Linked DNA regions of Oryctolagus cuniculus. The protein of the gene in region 1 interacts with the protein of each later gene in a pairwise test. Links are inferred from orthologs where the notes say so. Each region holds a gene or a part of one and is shown in the gene's direction. Other genes may lie near its edges.

Region 1 (5,073 bases):
TAATGCACCTGGGAAGGAACAGAGGATGGCCCAAGTGCATGGGCCCCTGCACCCATGTGAGAGACCCAGATGAAGTTACTGGCTTCGGTCTGGCCCAGCCCTGGCCTTTGCGTCCAATTGGGAAGTGAACCAGCAGATGGAAGATGTCTCTCGCTCTCTGTAACTCTCTGTCCTTCTCTCTCTGTAACTCTGACTTTCAAATAAATAAATAAAACAAAAGCAAAAACAGACCCCCCAAAACCTTGCTTTGATTTAACCATGAATTTCTAGTAGTTTTTAAACCAGAAGCATTTAAGATCTTGATAAAAGGAAGAGGACTAAGGATGAGTCATTTGTGAGGTGAACCCAACTGGATGTCAAGTTAGTTCAACGTGGAACACACACAGCGTACAAGGCATCCAGGTGGCTTTTGAGGACCCCACTCCGCACCTGCCAGGGGAGCTGTCAGAGTGTGGACGGGGGGCCCCTGAGCCCTCTCGGTCCAGGAGGGCAGATTTGTTGTCAGAGTAGCTGTGGCCGCCATTTTTGCTGCCTTGATATTTGTCCTAATTGTGCACCAGCAAGGTGGGGACAGCCTGCCGGCCTGAGTCCAGGCAGTGGCATCCGAGTGGGCCGCTGTGTCACTCACCCCACGCACTCTGATAGGAAGCTTCAGTTCCACCTAAGAGCATCCTGGCAGAGCAGTACAAGTCGTTAGCAAACGTCACCCCCTGCAGGCCTCTCTGTCCACTTTCCGCCCGATGGCAGCACCTTTGCCTCCCCAGGTGTGACTGTCTGGGTGTCCCAGGGGAGACAGGGCTGTGAAGAAAACGTGAAAGTGATTGATTGTTGGTGGCGGTCTGTCCGTGGTGTGACTTGGCACCGTGCCTTGTGCCTCACAGATCAAGGCGCTGGGAATATAGGTGACTGGGGGCTTCCGTCATCGGGGAAGGAAGACGCCAGCATGGGGTTGTGGGGAGTGGGAAGGAACCCTGCCACATCCGACTCTCATTCAGGGCATGCCTCTGAACTTGCGATGCCAGAGATGGGAGACGTCTTGGCTTTCGCCAAAGAGCCCAGAGCAATGACAGTAGGATTGATTGACTGATCTATGGGTTTATTTATTGGAGATTGATTTATTTGAAAGAGTTGCAGGGGAAGAGAGAGAAAAAAAGAATCCTCCATCTGCTGCTTCATTCCTCAGATGGCTACAACAGCCAGGCGGGGCTGGGCCAGGCCAGAGCCAGGAGCTTCATCCGGGTCTCCAAAGTGGGTGACGGACTCAAGCACTTGGGCTATCAACTGCTGTGTTTCCAGGAACAGTAGCAGGGACTTGAACCAGAGCCCACATGGGAGTCACAGCCGGCAGCTTAACCCGCCGCACCACAGCGCAAGTCCGGGGAGTGATGGCTCTTCAGCAAAGGTCGCGAAGAGTGCTCTGGTCTTGATGTCTCAGAGCCATTCCCCAGTGAAAGGTGCTCTTTGGAGACGCGGCTGACTTGAGGTCTGGGGCAGGACGTGGGCAAGGTTAGCTTGGTGTGAGGCACTCAGATGACGACGTCGCGTCAGGAGGACACTGGCGCTGGCTTGAAGGAGCTCCCAGGACAGTTGGAGCTTTGGGACAGTCGGAGCGTCAGAATGAAATGAAGACAGCGTGGATGGCAGCACATAGAGTCTGGGGTCTGTGTTGTGTTGCGGCGGGCGGGTTGAGACGCTGCTGGTGATACCGGCATGCCACGTCGCAGTGCCAGTGTGAGTCCCAGATGCTTAGCTTCCAACCCCGCACTGGAAGGCAGTGGAAGGGGGCCCAAGTACTTGAGCCCTTGCCACCTGCCGAGAGACCCCGGTGGAGTTCCTAGCTCCTGGCTGCCGCCTGGCCAAGCTCTAACCATTGCAGCTAACTGTGGGGAGTGAACCTGCAGAGGAAAGATGTCTTTCTCTGTTTCTCCCTCCTTCTCCATCACTCTTTCAAACAAATAGATCTTTAAAAATAAAAACCCTAAATGCACACGGTGGGAGAGAAGAGGAGGGGTGTGAGTGCTCGGTGCTCGTGTTACGGGGGATGCCGGCCCCTCTGTGAAGGGGCGCTGGCCTGGGAGCGTCCCTGCCCCGCCATCTCCAGAGCAGGTAGCGGCAGAAGCAAGAGCGGCCCGTGGATGCTGAGCCTGTCGGGCCGTCACAGAATCCGGCTGTCACCCTGCCTGTTGACCTCCGAGGACAAAGGGTATCTTTGCCATGCAGAAGCCTGGCAGGTGCCACCCTGTTGCTCAGGCTGCAGCACACAGAGAGCGAGCGCGCAAGCGAGCCAGACGTTCATGTGCTTTCCGAAGGAAGTGCAGTCTGTCGTAAACAAGCGAGCCGAAGTCTCAGCAAGCCTCGGAAGTCAGCTACAAGTTACAGGAAACCCGAAGTGGTGCTGACCGCCCCCATGGGGCTGCAGCTGGAGAGAAGCCTGGGGTGAGTGTGTATCCCCGTGCTTAGACTGCCCACGGCCCACGGCAGAGTGCCTGCTCCTCACTCCTGTTGCCTGCTAATGCAGGCTTCAGAAAGTGGTGGGGCCGACTCAGGTGGCTGGGTCCTTGCCACCCACATGGGGACCTGGAATGAGTCCCCAGCTGTGGCCCAGCCCAGCCCTGGGCACTGCAGGCATGGGGGCAGTCAACCAGCAGATGAGTGCTCCGCCTCTCCAAATGTCGGACTGTGGCAAGCTACGGGATCACATGACTGCATTTCTTAAAGAAATAAGTTGCAAGAAAAAAAAAGAAAGGGCCGAGGAGGTGTGACCCATGTGTGAGCCTGATTGGGTCGGAATGCAAATGAGCTGTAGGGTTAAAGAAAGGCGAGGAACCGTGCACAGCGATGGCCTGCCCGCTTGATGGCGCCGCAGGCCGAGCTGCCACGCTGTCCGGGGCTGCTTTGCAGTGCGCTGGAAGGAGAGTTGGGTTAGGAACACAGAGGAGTTGAGATCACCCCCAGGCAGAGTTGCTGAGCTGTCCACGTGTGCGCGTTCCTTTCTCTTCTGCCTGTTTTGTTGGGAAACTTTTAGGGTGAAATTTTACAAACCAGATTTGCATGTGGTTTTTCCCCTCCTCTTGTGGCACGCTGGGAAGTACACGTCACCTGGCGTGGAAGGGCTGCTGCATGCCTCCCCTGAGTGCGGGTAGAAGGGAGCAGAGAGCTCAGAGGTAGTGGAAAGCAGCACAGCCCAGCGTCAGGCCACACAGACATGTGTGGACCTTGCTAAGTGAATCCCCTTGGCCTCCACCCCCAAGGGTGACAAAAGACATCTTGTGGATGGTCCAGATGTCTCAGAATAAATGATGAGAGGCCAGTGCTGTGGCGCAGCAGGTAAAGCCGCCACCTGCAGTGGTGTCATCCGATATGGGTGCCGGTTCGAGTCCCAGCTGCTCCACTTTGGATCCAACTCTCTGCTATGGCCTGGGAAAGCAGTGGAAGTTGGCACCTACATGGGAGACCCGGAAGAAGCTCCTGGCTCTGGATCAGCACAGCTCCAGCTGTCGTGGCCAATTGGGGAGTGAACCAGCAGATGGAACCAATTGGGGAATGGGTTAGTTGATGGAAGCCCTCTCTCTCTCTCTCTCTCTCTCTCTCTCTCTCTCTCTGCCTCTCCTTTCTCTGCATAACTCTGACTTCAAATAAATAAATATCTTTTTTTAAAAAAAAATAAAGGATAAATGATGATGTTAGAGTCATAGCATTTTGTTCATGTGAACTGTTTGAGGAAAAGTTATGGATTTTTGGATCTGTCACTCTTGGGAGATGTATGGCAAAGAATTTTAGGCCGAGTGGTGTTTGTGGATTGCAGGTGGAGGGAGAGGGTCCCTGGGCTGTGATGCTTGGGAACAGAAGTGCTTTGGACTTGAAGTTTTTTCAGGTGGCACAGATGCAGTTAGATATCTCAACCGTGAGACATGAGCCTGAACACAAATGCATTCACGCTTATTCACATAGCCCGGAGATGATTTGAGTATATACTTTGAGCGTGCTTGCCCTCTGGCTGTGGCGTGCGTCTGGGGTGGGATTTTCCATGTGATCTTGGAGTTTCGGATTTGAGAGCCTCAGCTTGTATTCTGAGCAGTGTGTGGGAATCCACGGGTTAGGTTGGTCCCTGGTACGTTGCTGGTTTTTTGAGGTGAGAAACAGCCAAGTTTCACTTAGCAGAGCTATAGACACAGGTCAACCCAATGCTTGGACGTGTGGTGGGGAGTGGCGATTCCGGGGAGAAGCTCCTCCTCGTGCTGTGTGTCTGAGCTTTCAGGCACTGACGTGGGAGGGGACAGGCAGTGAGCCCACAGGGAGGAACCCCTGGCAGATTCGCGTCTGTGAGGCCAGGTGTGCTCACGACATCCTCTGGGGATACTTGCCACTCATGGCGTTTGCATTCTCTTGGAATTGATCCCACGACTACTGCCATTGATTTGGAACATGGGAAAGATGGAAAAGCCACTTATTCTATTGTGTGGACTTTCAGCACATGACAGAGAACAGAATGGTAAGTATAGGTGGAAATTATTTAAGCAAAGGCTTTGCTGATGTTCTGTGGAATCTTTTACATGTGTAGCATTTAAAGACAAACCCACCAGTAAAGAATGAAAGACAGGTGGTTTTTAGAGATCCATGCCTGTTTTCTCATTTTGGTTCAGAGATGAAAGATGGCTTCTCCCTAAGCCTGGCCTTGGCAGTCTCTGGAAAGTAGGGAGTGTCCCTAATATTTTTCTAAAGATTTATTTGATTTATTTATTTGAAAGTCAAGAGTTACAGAGAGAAGGCGAGGCCGAGAGAGAGGTCTTCCATCTGCTGGTTCAGTCCCCAATTGGCCGCAATGGCTATAGCTGCACCGATCCGAAGCCAGGAGCCAGGTGCTTCTTCCAGGTCTCCCACGTGGGTGCAGGGGCCCGAGGACTTGGGCCGTCTTCTGCTGCTTTCTCAGGCCACAGCAGAGAGCTGGACTGGAAGTGGAGCAGCCAGGACTTGAACCGGCGCCCATATGGGATGCCAACACTGCAGGCGGTGGCTTTACCCACTACACCAGAGCACCGGCCCCTATTTTATTTATTTTGAAAGGCAGAGTAA
Region 2 (4,812 bases), on another chromosome or scaffold:
ACTAGCTGTCGTGGTAGAACTCGGGCTAGCTCCAGTTAGGGGGGTGCTGGGAGATGTTTAACAACAGACTTTGTAAAAACAACAGCAAACCGTGACCACCCCGATGTGTAGCAGTCACTGGTTCACAGTGTGGAAACACTCCCAAACGTCCTGAAAATAGAGCCGTATTGTGTGAGCCTTCTTACACCAGCTGGCCCTGCATATCATACATTAGAACACAGGGCTGCTCGTGTCCAGGTCTGTTCTGCCTCAGTGAGGAGAAAGGTCACCCGAAGCAAACTCGGTTCAAAGCAGAGTGTACAGACGAGCCTTAAAAAACAAACCAATCACAGAACTGCCTTCCCATGCCTGTGAGCACACAATCCAGTGTCTCCCAAGGCGCACAAGGCCCTGGCCTGGGCTTTGGAGACACACAACCCCCACGATCCTTCTCTCAAACAGCCTTCGCTCCAGGACACAGAGGCTGACGGACAAGAACCAAGCAGCCAAACGTTGAGTACAAAATTACAGACTGAGACACAGACCGTGGAACAGGCCCCAGGGAGGATAGGGACCGGGGAGCCGCTGCCACTTGGAGTGTGGTGAGTTGAGGAAGCCCACTCTCAGAAGGCGACACTTGGTATCAGATGGACCAGTGAGTTGGATGAGGCGTGGCGCTACCAGCCAGGCAGAAGAGAGGATTTGAAGAATGAAATGAATTTCTGTGCAGCTTGAGACAGTGGGATGGGATTATAGATATGAATGTGAAGGGCAGGGGCTTATGGGGAGGTTTAATTCCCTGGGTGGAGTCTGGAAGACAGAGTCTCAGAAGATGAGATGCACTCTTTGATTGTCTTCCAGTGACGGGCAGTTTCTCCTCCAGAAAACCCGTCTGCACCACTTGGATCAGCTCCCAGCGGCCTTGCCTGGATGATCAGAAGCTTGGGAGGAATCCACGACCACCCCCAGGTGCGGTGGCAGTCCTGGCTGTAGGCCCTGGCCCCTCACCTTTGGAGCTAGCCCTGCCCATCGGAAATACACATGAGACCCACAGATGTAAAAATCTTGCAGCCACGTTGAAGGAGTCAAAAGATACGAGAGAGATTAATTTTCTCATCTATTTTATTTGGCCCGAACATTTCGACGTGTCATCAGTCTAAGTCTTGGAAACCCCGTGTGCATTCTGGCTGGATTTCAAGCGCGCGATAGCTACTCTGTGGCTGCGTGGAACATGGTGCTGGCCTATGCCGTTCTGAGCCTCAGTTTCCTTACCTGGATGAAATCGCCTGGACCACCGCAGGGCTTGTGAGAGCACACGTGAGGCCACACCACCCCGCCCTACACAGAGAGGGAGCGCATTAAATCCCGGCTCCCGCCGCCCCTTCTCTCCCCACGCCTCCCTCCTCCAAGTCTCCGCCCCCTTCCCCGCCCCTTTCAGGCTCCAGGCGGAAGCCGTACGGTCACCACTGCGGCGCGCTTTACGGTAGCGCTGCCTTTTTCCGCAGTGTGGCTGCTCGCCTGCCGCACGCACTTTTACCCTATTGGCTCTGCGGGGCCTGGCACAGGGCGCTTTTCGGCAGTGTGGCTGGAAGCGCTGCCGAGCGGCCCGCGGTGTGGGTTTGAGTGGAGGGAACGAGCGGATCGGCTGTTGCCTGGACGGGGAACTATGGACGTGGGCGAACTTCTGAGCTACCAGGTATGAGGGACTGGGGAGACCGGGAGACTGCTCCTCACCGGGTCGGAGATCGCAGGGCCAGAGTGCCTTGGTCTCACCTCGTCTCATCTCCTTCCGGGCCCCCTCGCTTCTGACCTCATCTCACTTCACTCCTGCAAACTTCGCTAGTCCCTTCCTATGCCTGCTCCGGGCCTGAGCCCCTTTGCCTACTCGCACCCCATCCAGAGGTCTGGTTCCCATCGTCCTCTCCCAGCGGCCGCCACCGCCGAGTCGTTGAGTTTGTGCCGCTAGCCTCAGTTTTCTTATCTGCATAGTGGAGACGGTTTCAGCTACTTAGTAGAGTTGTTTGAGGTCTGTGTCAGCTGCTGAGCGTGCAAAGCTGTGCCCGAGTTGGCCGCCCTTGCTGGGAGATGCTCGTAATTCCAGCTTGGGCTGGGCCCCTGGGAAGCAGGAAGGCTCCCTTGTTGGGGTACTTGTGGGAAAACGGGAGGCCGGGCCGAGGTCCCTGAGCAGGTGAGAGCCGGGGTCGGAGCGCAGGTATCCTGACTTCAACCTCGGGATTCATCGCTTCTCTGATTGCCTGAGAGGCTCCGCGTGGGAGGCCGCAGAACCGCCCTGCCCGTCCGGGGTCGGTAGCCGCACGCCCTCCCGACCCCTGACGTGTGGCCAGTCAGAGCTGAGGGGTACTGTGAGTATGAGATCACACTGGGTTCCGAAGACTCAGCGAGAAAAAAGGAGTGTTTTTATAGGATTTTGTGATCACGCTGAGTCTAGCAACCACACTGATTATCGATCATATTGATTAAGTGATCCTATTTTGGATAATGGGTGAAATAAAATACATTTAAAACCAATTTTACTTGTTTCTGTTGACTTTCTAAAAGATGTATTTATTTTTTACTTGAAAGACTGAGCAACAGAATGAAAATGGGAGAGGGAGAGGGAGATAGAGATCTCTGTCTGCTGGTTCACTCCCCAAATGGCAGCAACAAGCTACATCTGGGCCAGGCTGAAGCCAGAAGCCAGGAACTCCATCCTGCTACAGGGGCGGCAGGGACCCAGGTACTTGGGCATCTTCTGCTGCCTTCCCAGGCGCATGAGCCGGGAGCTGGATCAGAAGTGGAATGAGTGCTGTGGTATGGGATGCCATCATGGCAGGCAGTGTTTTAACCTGACTTTTCAATGTGGCCACTAGAAAATTCTAAGGGGCTGGCTCTGGCAGAGTGCGTAAAGCTGCCGCCTGCAGTGCTGTGGCATCCCTTATGGGCACCAGTTCAAGTCCCAGTTGTTCCACTTCACGGGGCCGGCGCTGTGGTGTAGCAGGTTAAGCTGCTGCCTGCAGGTCCAGCATCCCATAAGGGCGCCAGTTTGAGACCTGGCTGCTCCACTTCTTATCCAGCTGCCTATACCCACATGGGAGACCCAGGGAGACCCAGATGAAGCTCCTGCCTCCTGCCTTTGGCCTGGCCAACCGTGGCCGTTGGGCCATTTGGGGAATGGACCAAGGGATGGAAGACACCTTTCTCTCTCACTCCCTCCTTCCTTCCCTCTCCCTCTGCCTTTGCCTTTCTGTGACTCTGACTTTCAAATAAATAGATAAATATTTAAAAAAGTAAGTTCCATATACTGTTGGCCATATTTTCAGTAGGCAGCTCTGCAGTCAAGAATAAGTGATTAAGAGCCATGTGTCTGTAGCCCCAGGTTGTGTGGAATATTTGGCCACTAACTGGCTGCTGTAACCTTGAAGAGACTGTTTAACCTTTCTATTCCTTGTTTTCCTCATCTGTGAGTGGGGCCGATGACGGTACCTTTCATAGGGCTGCTGTTGAGAAATGTAGACCAATGCTTGACAAAGTGTAAATGTTCAATAAATTGCTAATTATTTTCATGCCACTGCCTTAGCCAATATACGGAAACGCCACCCTGGGGGTTCCAGACGTCTGGGGAAAGAACTTGTGGAGCACGCGGGGGTATGCGTAACTCAGAGTTCTTTTAGACAATTGAGTAGACTGTGAAGGAAGGAAGGAAGGAAATAGGAGGGTTGTTGAATGAGTGTTCATTCAGGGTTCCAGCAGGAGGTGTGCCTGTTTGGGAGCGCTGGTGTAAGAAGACAGGGTGTGGGGCCAGCCCCGTGGCTCACTTGGTTAATCCTCCACCTGCGGTGCCGGCATCCCATATGGGCGCCGGGTTCTTGTCCCGGTTGGGGCCCGGGTTCTAGTCCTGGTTGCTCCTCTTCCAGTCCAGCTTTCTGCTGTGGCCCCGGAGGGCCGTGGAGGATGGCCCAAGTGCTTGGGCCCCTGCACCTGCATGGGAGACCGGGAAGAAGCACCTGGCTCCTGGCTTCAGATCAGCGCAGCGCTGGCTGTAGCGGCCATTTGGGGAGTGAACCAACAGAAGGAAGACCTTTCTCTCTGTCTCTCTCTCTCTCTCACTGTCTATAACTCTACCTGTCAAATACATAAATAGAAAACAAAAATTGAAAAAAGTTATTAAAAGAAAACAGGGTGCAGATGGGTGCCTCCTCACACAAGGCATCACGTGTAAGAAAAAGGGGTACAGAACAGAGGAGACAGAGTACCAACTCGCAACTAGACCGAATTTATTCAAAGAAAATAAATCCGCAGAGGTCAACCAACTGCCAGTGTACACACAGACTGAACAAGTGGCAGAGGGCCCAGACCACAGCAGGCTGGGCTTTTTTTTTTTTTTTTTTTTTTTTTTTTTTGGACAGGCAGAGTGTACAGTGAGAAAGAGAGACAGAGAGGAAGGTTTTCCTTTTTCCGTTGGTTCACCCACCAGTGGCCGCTGCAGCCAGTGCCCTGCGGCCGGCGCACCATGCTTATCCGAAGCCAGGAGCCAGGTGCTTCTCTTGGTCTCCCATGCGGGTGCAGGGCCCAAGGACTTGGGCCATCCTCCACTGCACGCCCAGGCCACAGCAGAGAGCTGGACAGAATCCGGTGCTCCAACCAGGACTAGAACCCGGTGTGCCGGCGCCTCAGGTGGAGGGTTAGCCTATTGAGCTGTGGCACCGGCCAAGGCTGGGCTTTTTATATCTTAGGTGGGCTGGGGTAGGGTGGGGGGGCAGTGGGGGGGTGAGCGGCTCCATACTGGTTCTTTGCAGGGGATGGATGGGGTGGGGAGCAATACAGGATGTGAGA

Evidence for each region. The genes of interacting proteins can lie anywhere in the genome.
Region 2: the proteins of CDCA7L (region 1) and CTNNBL1 interact in binary tests that used the Homo sapiens proteins (3 or more experiments, as listed by UniProt). The link is inferred for Oryctolagus cuniculus from reciprocal best matches to the Homo sapiens genes CDCA7L and CTNNBL1.

The regions. Positions count from the first base shown.
Region 1 is NC_091447.1:13,943,079-13,948,151, reverse strand, and holds the start of CDCA7L (cell division cycle-associated 7-like protein), read left to right. Parts: upstream 1-2,016; 5' UTR 2,017-2,407; coding exon 2,408-2,436; intron 2,437-4,459; exon of another isoform or gene 4,460-4,474; coding exon of another isoform or gene 4,475-4,492; intron 4,493-5,073. UniProt on the Homo sapiens protein: Plays a role in transcriptional regulation as a repressor that inhibits monoamine oxidase A (MAOA) activity and gene expression by binding to the promoter.
Region 2 is NC_091442.1:20,960,162-20,964,973, reverse strand, and holds the start of CTNNBL1 (beta-catenin-like protein 1), read left to right. Parts: upstream 1-1,417; 5' UTR 1,418-1,645; coding exon 1,646-1,675; intron 1,676-4,812. UniProt on the Homo sapiens protein: Component of the PRP19-CDC5L complex that forms an integral part of the spliceosome and is required for activating pre-mRNA splicing.